Xenopus tropicalis: one gene and its partner. The protein of the gene in region 2 purifies or fractionates together with the protein of the main gene of each other region. This does not show direct contact. Links are inferred from orthologs where the notes say so. Each region holds a gene or a part of one and is shown on either strand. Other genes may lie near its edges.

Evidence for each region. Proteins that work in one complex are often made in the same cells at the same time.
Region 1: the proteins of katna1 (region 2) and katnbl1 purify together in Homo sapiens (affinity purification with mass spectrometry; 3 studies listed by BioGRID and IntAct, counting the BioPlex papers as one, with this or other methods). This does not show direct contact. The link is inferred for Xenopus tropicalis from reciprocal best matches to the Homo sapiens genes KATNA1 and KATNBL1.

The regions. Positions count from the first base shown.
Region 1 is NC_030684.2:118,598,879-118,604,224, reverse strand, and holds the start of katnbl1 (KATNB1-like protein 1), read right to left. Parts: upstream 3,165-5,346; 5' UTR 3,089-3,164; intron 1-3,088.
Region 2 is NC_030681.2:58,147,521-58,152,108, reverse strand, and holds part of katna1 (katanin p60 ATPase-containing subunit A1), read left to right. Parts: intron 1-1,780; coding exon 1,781-1,915; intron 1,916-2,495; coding exon 2,496-2,622; intron 2,623-4,588. UniProt on the Homo sapiens protein: Catalytic subunit of a complex which severs microtubules in an ATP-dependent manner. Microtubule severing may promote rapid reorganization of cellular microtubule arrays and the release of microtubules from the centrosome following nucleation.

The DNA.
Region 1 (5,346 bases), on a different chromosome or scaffold from region 2:
TGTAAACAATGCAGGGGATTGCTGGTGTAAACAATGCAGGGGATTGCTGGTGTAAACAATGCAGGGGATTGCAGCCTGAATCTGAGGTGTGAACCATGCAGGGGGCCAGTTAATCTTATTACTGATAACATTTAAAATGTACACAAAGGTAAGCAGTCACAGCAGCCAGACAGGTGGGGGCACACAGGGGTGGAAACCACCAGTTGCATAGCACTTCTCTATGCCTTTAATTGGTAGAGTTGTAATTGTATCCACTCACAATCATAGCCAACATTCCAACAAATTACGTGGCTGCACTAATCCCACTGTTGGTGAATACTGCAACCTGCCAGGACCTATTACATACCACAACTATGGGACTAGAAGAGAAGCCATTATTGGAGATACTACAAGTATACGTCATATATTTAATCCACTAAGGATGAAACATGTTGTCTATTAGTCACTACAAATTGATCCTGAAAAAAACTGGGCTGTCCCCTACTTCCCAATAGGCAACTTGATCTAACCAGTTCTATGAACTGCATCCCCTTTAATTACAAACATCTAACACCCTCTTTAGCATTATCAATTGAACTATTTGTAGAGCAAAAATGTTGGCATGGAGGTGTCTGCTAATAGTTAATGCAATATTAGGTGATTAGCAAGGTCATTATAAAAAAATCACATTCAGTATGGAATGAATCACCAGCAGTTTATTGTGCCACAAATAATATGCTTTGGCCCACATACTGAACTCCAAAAGGCAAACAATTATTTCTGACAATATAAAACCCAGAGGTTAAAAGTGCTACCGTTCTAGAACACTAACAACACAGAACAGAGAACTCCAACACACTTTAACTGCATCCAAATGGTTTACACAGTATTCTACAGCCGATTGCCTACACAGCAACAAGCTTAACGGTGGGTGAATGTTACTGAAACAGTAATGGGGTCAGTCTCACATGTGAGGTAGAATAAAACAAACAACCTGTAAGAAGAATACAGAATACAGTAATAATTATTGGGAGTTGTCCACAAAAGCCCCCTGGTTAGCCTGCTTTGCTTTATATAATAATATACAAATCTGTCTAATCTACATGACATCAGTGTTGTTGGGGGAAATAGGTGCAATGCAAACAATAATAATATCCAGGGGTCTGTCATTTAATCAATACAGGAGCGCTCTCAACAGAAAGCAGTAAAGCAGCCCAAAGCCTTTTAGCAAACAAAATAAGATCTTTTTGTAGGGCTTTTAGTTGGCCTTTTTACTACAAAGGTTTAATTTTTTATTCCTATATACCGTAACACGTTTTTCATACTTTTAACTGCATATTCTGTGGTTCACGTTTAGGTTAACTTAGTATGTTATAGAATGGCCTATTAGCAACTTTTCCATTTTTTTTTTTATAGTTTAGCTATTTGCCTTCTTCTGACTCTTTCCAGCTTTCAAATGGGCCCCAGCAGCCAAAAACTATTGCTCTGTGAGGCTGCAAAGCTGCTGAACAAAAACGGATTCAAAAACTGCAAATAAACAATGAAGACCAATTTCAGAATAGCATTCTCTACATCAGTGATCCCCAACCAGTGGCTCAGGGGCAACATGTTACTCCCCAACCCCTTGGGTGTTGCTCTCAGTGCCCCCAAACCAGGGAGTTGTTTTTGAATTCCTGACTTGGTGGCAAGTTTTGGTTCAATAAAAACAAAATTTACTACCAAATAAAGTCTCCTGTAAGCTGATAGTGTGCATAGAGGCTGCCTAGTAGACAATCTTAGCCCTTATTTGGCACCTCCATGAACTTTTATGATGCTTGTGTTGCTCCTCAAGTCTTTTTACATTTAACTACTCACGAGTAAGAAAGGTTGGGGGCCCCTGATCTAAATCATAATAAAAGTTAATTTTACACCCAACCACTTTCTGGAGCATTCAGAATATTAGATGCTATACCTGTATTTTGTTAGATCGGAAGTATAACAGAGCAACCTTTGTCCTGTCTGTGCATGAATATGAAACATACAGCAACAAGCACTACTAAATGATTGAGTTATGTACTTCACCCATTATTTTTCTTTTAGGTATCACATAATTCATTATGCTCCTGTGCTTCTTAAATAAGATGCTTTATTTTGGTGCTGTAACATTGCATCCTTTTTTCAAGATGTGTGTTATTATCCCTAGCGTTACTGCATTAATGATCTGAAAGATAAGTCTTATTTGGGGTTCTAACACATGTGCTAATTTTATACTGACCTTACTGAACAGACCCCTCAGACCCCCTCTGTCTCATACAGCTTAAAATCTAAATTTAACATACATTACAGGTGAGATAAAAAGTATCAGCCTGGCCAATATTGCTATGGCCAATATTGAATATGTCTGCTCATAACTGCAAGGAGTCACTGTCTCTGCCAAATACACCACTGGCTTATTCTGCCAATAGTACATATTAAGGGTGTATACTTTTCCTTCTATCAGGATCCTTGAAAAGAGGAAATGAAGTTATGCAATGATAAAACATACAATGAGGTTAATTGGCTCCTGATCAGTGACTGTGTGTGAATGTGATAGGGACCTTAGATTCTAAGCTCCACTGATGTATCATTGACATCATACATCATAAAATGAGTGATATATAATCTCTGTATTCTCCTTGCACAAGAGCACTGGTATCCTGAACTACACATAACAGTAAACACTGATATTGAAATACACATATAACAAAAGCAAGAACAAAGGGAGAGTCATTTAAACCCTGCGGCCTCAGAAAGAGAAATACATGAGTCTGTATGTGCTTCTTAGAGTATCTTCCCTTGAGGCTGGCCAGGCAGAGTAGGTAACAGTGAATGAAGTGGTTATCCCAGCATTATGATTCCCATAAGGTACCACCGGCAACTACAAACAGGAGAAAATGTGCTTTATAACACGCCCTAATGCGCTGCTCTAAACTATAAAAAACTGGCTAAGGGTGGTGGGAAATGTAGTTTGTAAGTACTGGGTGTTATTAAACTACAGAGCAAGAACCATGGCCTAGAGACACTGCATGGGGTTGACGCCCACTTCCCCAAGCACTAAGTCCGGTTAAATGTAAGCAAGCGGCTTTCTTACCGGCTCATGGCCCCACGGCTGGGGGAGCAGGGCAGCTCTTTAGCAGCGGGACAGTGTCCTGTACAGCGCGGCTTCCGGCTCCGGCAACAAAGTTACCCCTTCCTGACACTAGGATGCGCCATTCAAACTGCCCCGCACGGCATGCCGGGAAAGCACAAACTGCTGTCAGACTCGCCTCTGTGCGCAGGGCTCTGATTGGCTGGCGATGCGGGAAGCGAATTACGTAACGAGCGCCAACCTTTCCATGGAGACGCGTGACTTACCGCCATACTAATATGGTTGGCTGCTGAAGCGCTTTTACTTTAATGAGTACGGTGATATGTTGGGTGCGTGCTTACATAACAGAACCCAGGCTTCAAGGATGGGAAACGCTACTGAGCGCCTTTTTCTAATGGACCATATGAGGGTGTGACAATTATTGCTTAGCAGCCAGTGTCTGCTCGTTTCTGCCTAAATGCGTTGTTATTGGTTACTCTCTGGAGATGATCCAATATTTACAAAGGGCACGCCTAAGTTCATCAGAAGGATGTAGCTAAACGTTGCTGTATTCATCCTTCTGCTGTATATTCAAGCAGGTCTGGACTGGGATTTAACATATGCTATGGCATTTCAATTATGAAAAGGTCCAAACACCACCCCCCACCACCACTACCAGCCCAATAAATAGTGACTGTCTACAGCAGGTGTCCTCAAACTGTGGGCTGGACACGCCTCCCCCAAAGGTAATTTACCAGGCCCCCAACCGGTGGAAGCAGCAGGGAGCCAGAGGACAGGGGTAGCCAAAGAAAGCTGCAGGGGGAGCTGGAGGAAGCAGCGGGGAGTGGGAGGACGCGGGGGAGCCAGAGGAAGCAGCGGGGAGTGGAAGGATGCGGGGGAGCCGGAGGAAGCAGCTGGGATCCAGAGGACACGGGGTAACCGAAGGAAGCAGCAGGGGGGAGCCGGAGGAAGCAGCGGGGAGTGGGAGGACGCGGGGGAGCCGGAGGAAGTAGTGGGGAGCCAGATGACACGGGGTAGCCGAAGGAAGCAGCAGAGGGTTGCCGCAGGATGCAGGGGGGAGCAGGGAGCAAGAGGAAGCAGCGTGGAGCGGGCTATAGTGTGAGGACAAGGGGGGGGGACTTTAATCTGGGCCCCCAACAGTTTGTGGGACCATGAACTGGCCCCCGGCTTAAGTTTGAGGACCCCTGGTCTACAGAGCTGTTAACTCTTAAGATTTGTTCTGGAGTTGCCCAAGTTTCCAAGTTTGGCTCTCTCCCCTTGGTCTTCTGTGACCCTGCCACATTCTACTGATTTTTACAGGTTCACTATGGTGCACATACGCAGTATGCACCATAGCAGTAGGTATTCAGTGACACCTGGGGAGCATCTGCGCATACACATACAGCTGTCAGTGGCTTCAGGACAGCAGCTGCATGTGGGTAACGTCGATTCCAGGATTTCTGTCATATGTGATGTCACTTCGTGCAAAACATTTTTGGCAGTGCGCTGCAAGATCTCCTGAAAGTCTGGTGCTAAAATTTGAAAGCTCTGTGTCTATGGCATCTTACAGTAGCCCCTGTGGCATTTGCCAGTCCAGGCTTTGTTCCAATAAAATCTCAGAAAGCAATTACATTTTCACCAAACACATCACTCTAATTTACCTTAAGGGCTCTGGCACACGGGGAGATTAGTCGCCCGCGACAAATCTCCCTGTTCGCGACTAATCTCCCTGTTCGCGACTAATCTCCCTGTTCGCGACTAATCTCCCCGAATTGCCATCCCACCGGCAAAAATGTAAATTGCCGGTGGGATGGCATACGCGGCGGCGCAATTTCAGTGAAATCGCGCCGCCGTGTATGCCATCCCACCGTCGATTTACATTTTCGCCTGTGGGATGGCATTCCGGGGAGATTAGTCGCCCGCGAACAGGGAGATTTGTTGCGGGCGACTAATCTCCCCATGTGCCAGAGCCCTAAAACTGGGATTCTAAATAATAAAAATCCCCAAATCCCACCCAAATGGGCCTTCAGTCTGAACCCCACTTCTACTCTAAGGGGCACATTCATCAAAGTACGATTGAGTCCAAAAACAAAAAATCAGTATTTTTTCTAAGTTTTAGAACTGTGCGTGTTTTTTGCAAAATTTTAGTTAATTTGCGCAACTTTTTCGTACTTCGCGACAATTTGCGCAACAAATGTGTAACAAAAACATATTTGTTGCAACAAGTACAAAAGTTTCGGATTCATTCAAGCTTCGGTATCGTGACTTTTCTTGGGCCAGGT
Region 2 (4,588 bases):
ATCAGTACACCAGAGGCCACCCATTTAGTTTAGAGAAACGGAGCTTCCACTTGACGTAGCATAGGTGGTTTTTCACAGTGAGGGCAGTGAGGTTGGGGAATGCCCTTCCTAGTGATGTTGTAATGGCAGATTCTGTTAATGCCTTTGAGAGGTGCCTGGATGAGTTCTTAAACAAGCATAGTATCCAAGGCTATTGTGATACTAAAATTTACAGTTGAATTGATGTTGGTATGTATAGTTTATGTATGCGAGTGTATGGATAGGTCAGTATACATTCGTGTGTGTTTGGTTTACTTGGAAGTGTTGAACTTGGTCTTTTTTTAACCCTTTGTAAATATATATCTATATTCATGGTGAATTGGTTTGAAAATATGGGTTTATACCTTAGGTTCTATACAAGAAAGCAATCTTTTCTATAGCTATAAATATTTGATATTGATGAGTATATTGGACTTTCAAAATCAGCTGTATGCCATGCATATAAAATGTGTTTGATGTATTTCTGTATAGTTTTGAAACAAATGATCTTTGCCACTTGAAGTCAAAATTGCCTGGTCTGCAGTGGGTTAAATTATTTAATGTATAGCTGCTGTTACAGAGATGTTCTGTTCCTTGCACATTTCTAATGCATTTTAGATTGTTAGATATCACTATATACAATATATGTAGTAAACCATTATTTATAGTTGGGTGCTAAACAATCTGCTAAATGAAATGTTATGCAGAAAATTTTAAAACTTAATTGCATTAAAGGAGTGGTTCACCTTCATCATAACATTAAGCATGTTATAGAATGGCTGATCCTTAGCAACTTTTCAGCTGGTGTTAATTTTTTATTTTTATAATTTTTGACTTGCCATCCTCTTCTGACTCTTTTCAGCTTTTGAATGGGGGTCACTGACCACAGCAGGCAAAAAACTATTTCTTTGTGAAGGCTACACATTTGTTGTTGTTACTTTTTATTACTTACATTTCTATTTAGGCCCTCTTTTATTCATATTTCAGTCTCTGTTTTAAATCACTGCCTGGTTGCTAGGTTAAATTTGGTTTTCTGGTTGCCCTAGCAACCAGATAGCTGCTAAAATTTTAAACTGGAGAGCTGCTGAACAAAGCGTTAAATAATTTAAAAAATGCTATAATAAAGAATGAGAACCAATTGTAGATAGTTTTTCCACATCATACTTAAAGTTAATTTAAAGGTGAACAACCCCTTTTAAGGTCCGAATTATTCATTCTTGAGGAAGAGGGTTGGGGAAAAAAAAAGGTAAAGAAAAACCGATAAGTTAGTTATCTCACACACTTTTTTCTGCTTTTTTTTTTTTTTCCAAATGCATTTTTTTAAGGAAAAAAGACAATCCTCACAAAACAATTCCTGGAAAAAAGTGAGCAAGGCAACGACAATGTGAGTGAGATAATTCGCTTGTACATCTTTACCTTGTTTTACCCAATCCCTCAAATCAAAAATGAGAAAAGCAGAATTGTTTGTAGCACCATCACCAGCTAGATGTAATGAAAAGAGCAAGATAATTGCAGAAGTCTGTTGGTAACAAATACTTATCTAAATCTTCAGTGTGGGATATTTTATTTAATAGAGTAGTGGATTAGGTTATGAAAAAATATTAACTAAGCCTCCTTGTGTCCTACAGTGTTCTTGCCAAATGTGTAAGCAATATTTGTGTTTAATCTGCATTTTCAAAAAAAGAATACAGCCCTAAGAATGACCTGTAGGCTAATTATTTATCTCAATACTGCCATTTTTTTTTTAATTTCTTTCTGTTAGGTGTTGGTGGTGCATCTGAAAATGAGGACCCATCTAAAATGGTAATGGTTCTTGCAGCAACCAACTTTCCATGGGATATCGATGAGGCTTTGCGGAGACGCTTAGAAAAAAGAATATATATTCCTTTGCCATCAGGTGGGTCGCAGTATAAATGTTGAGATGGAATAATATTGAAGTATTGACAAACTATTTGCGTGTTGTACAAGAAGGGGTCTGAAAAGTATTTTATGGTATTAGGTAGGGTTACAATACATGGTTATGTTTTCATATGTTTATCAATAATTATTAAAGGATGGAGGCATAAAGACAGATGACGTATAAACCTATTTTAAGGACTTCACTTGAAGATATAAAATAAATTGTGGAAATTGTGATTTCCTACCTGTATATTTTTGGAGTGTGGTAGGAAACCAAAGTACCCTAAGGGAACCTTTGCAGACATGCAAACTCCTGCAATTCTGCATAGCTACTGTAACATGGAAGGCCTTTTCAAATGTTATTCAGTTGTATTGAAATATTGAAGCCATTCAAATAGCCATTTAAATGAGTAGTAATTCTAAGGTTGGGCACAGGGAGCTGGTAGGAGACTAAAACCAACATGCACATGACTAGTAATCAGTGTGGGTGGTGGTATTGTGTCTTTCTTCTTTTCTTGCTTATTGAACAGTATAATAAACATAAAGAGTAAATAAAATGTAAATTCATATTGTTTCAGCAAAAGGAAGAGAGGAGCTTCTACGCATAAATCTCAAAGAGCTGGAGCTGGCAGATGATGTCAACATTGAGTGTATAGCAGAAAACATGGATGGATACTCTGGTGCAGATATTACCAATGTGTGCAGGTATGCTATTCATAGATTTTCTTTTTTCCCCAAAGAAAATCTTTAGCATTGGAACTTCACTTATTTGTAGACCCGTGTAGTTTTTCTTTAGTGTTCAGAGTAAAGTGCAGTCCTTCCTTCTGATGTGAACGATCTATACCCACGTTGTGGTTTTATAGCCTTTATAGGTTATATTAACACATCAAAAAGTCATCATGGTCCTGCATTCATAGGCACTGAGAAGGCCAATGGATATTTCTTTTAAAACTCTGACAGATGTTGCATGAAGCACATTGAGACAGATATCTATTTGTAACACCATCACCTTTATCCATTAACTCAAAAGTTGTTACTAGCTAGAAAGGCTTTTAAAGGCATTGTGGAAATCGCACCTGTACTCCTAAAGCTATAGTTCTCAAAAAGACGATAACAACGCAGTGCACTGTTTATTTCTCCACAGTTGCCATACCACTATCAGGATGCAATCACAGCAGTAAAGCCAGCTACTGGGCTTAGTACAATTTTATTACTCATCAGTCATTTCCATTTTTCCCGCCTTGCACCTGCATGGACCTTCATTATTTGATAGTAAGGTAAAATGGCATATAGACTAGGCCAGGGATCCCCAACCTTTTATTCCTGTGAGCCACATTCAAATGGCAAAAGTTTTGGAGAGCAACACAAGCATGAAAAAAGTTCCTGGAGGTGCCAATGAGAGCTATAATTGGCTATTTGATAACCCCCATGTTGACTGGCAGCCTACAGAAAGGCTCTGCTTGGCCGTACAACTTTTTTTATTCAATCAAAACCTGCTTCCTAACCAGAAATTCAAAAATAAACACCTGCTTTGGGGCCACTGGGAGCAACATCCAAGGGGTTGGAAAGCAACATGTTGCTCACAAGCCACTGGTTGGGGATCACTGGACTAGGCTAAGGGTAGGTGGTACCCTAGGATGATAACAGCAGAAGAAATTCTTAACTGCAGGAACTAAAAACCAAAACAAATACCTTGCCTTGATACCTTGGTGGTGGCCTCTTGTTCTTTTCTATGTGAAATCCTCTATCTACAGTGGTGTGAAAAACTATTTGCCCCCTTCCTGATTTCTTATTCTTTTACATGTTTGTCACACTTAAATGTTTCTGCTCATCAAAAACCGTTAACTATTAGTCAAAGATAACATAATTGAACACAAAATGCAGTTTTTAAATGAAGGTTTACGTTATTAAGGGAGAAAAAAAACTCCAAATCTACATGGCCCTGTGTGAAAAAGTGATTGCCCCCCTTGTTAAAAAAATAACTTAACTGTGGTTTATCACACCTGAGTTCAATTTCTGTAGTCACCCCCAGGCCTGATTACTGCCACACCTGTTTCAATCAAGAAATCACTTAAATAGGAGCTACCTGACACAGAGAAGTAGACCAAAAGCACCTCAAAAGCTAGACATCATGCCAAGATCCAAAGAAATTGAGGAACAAATGAGAACAAAAGTAATTGAGATCTATCAGTCTGGTAAAGGTTATAAAGCCATTTCTAAAGCTTTTGGGACTCCAGCGAACCACAGTGAGAGCCATTATCCACAAATGGCAAAAACATGGAACAGTGGTGAACCTTCCCAGGAGTGGCCGGCCGACCAAAATTACCCCAAGAGCGCAGAGACAACTCATCCGAGAGGCCACAAAAGACCCCAGGACAACATCTAAAGAACTGCAGGCCTCACTTGCCTCAATTAAGGTCAGTGTTCCACCTCTGAATGGCTGAAGAAAAACAAAATGAAGACTTTGGAGTGGCCTAGTCAAAGTCCTGACCTGAATCCTATTGAGATGTTGTGGCATGACCTTAAAAAGGCGGTTCATGCTAGAAAACCCTCAAATAAAGCTGAATTACAACAATTCTGCAAAGATGAGTGGCCCAAAATTCCTCCAGAGCGCTGTAAAAGACTCGTGGCAAGTTATCGCAAACGCTTGATTGCAGTTATTGCTGCTAAG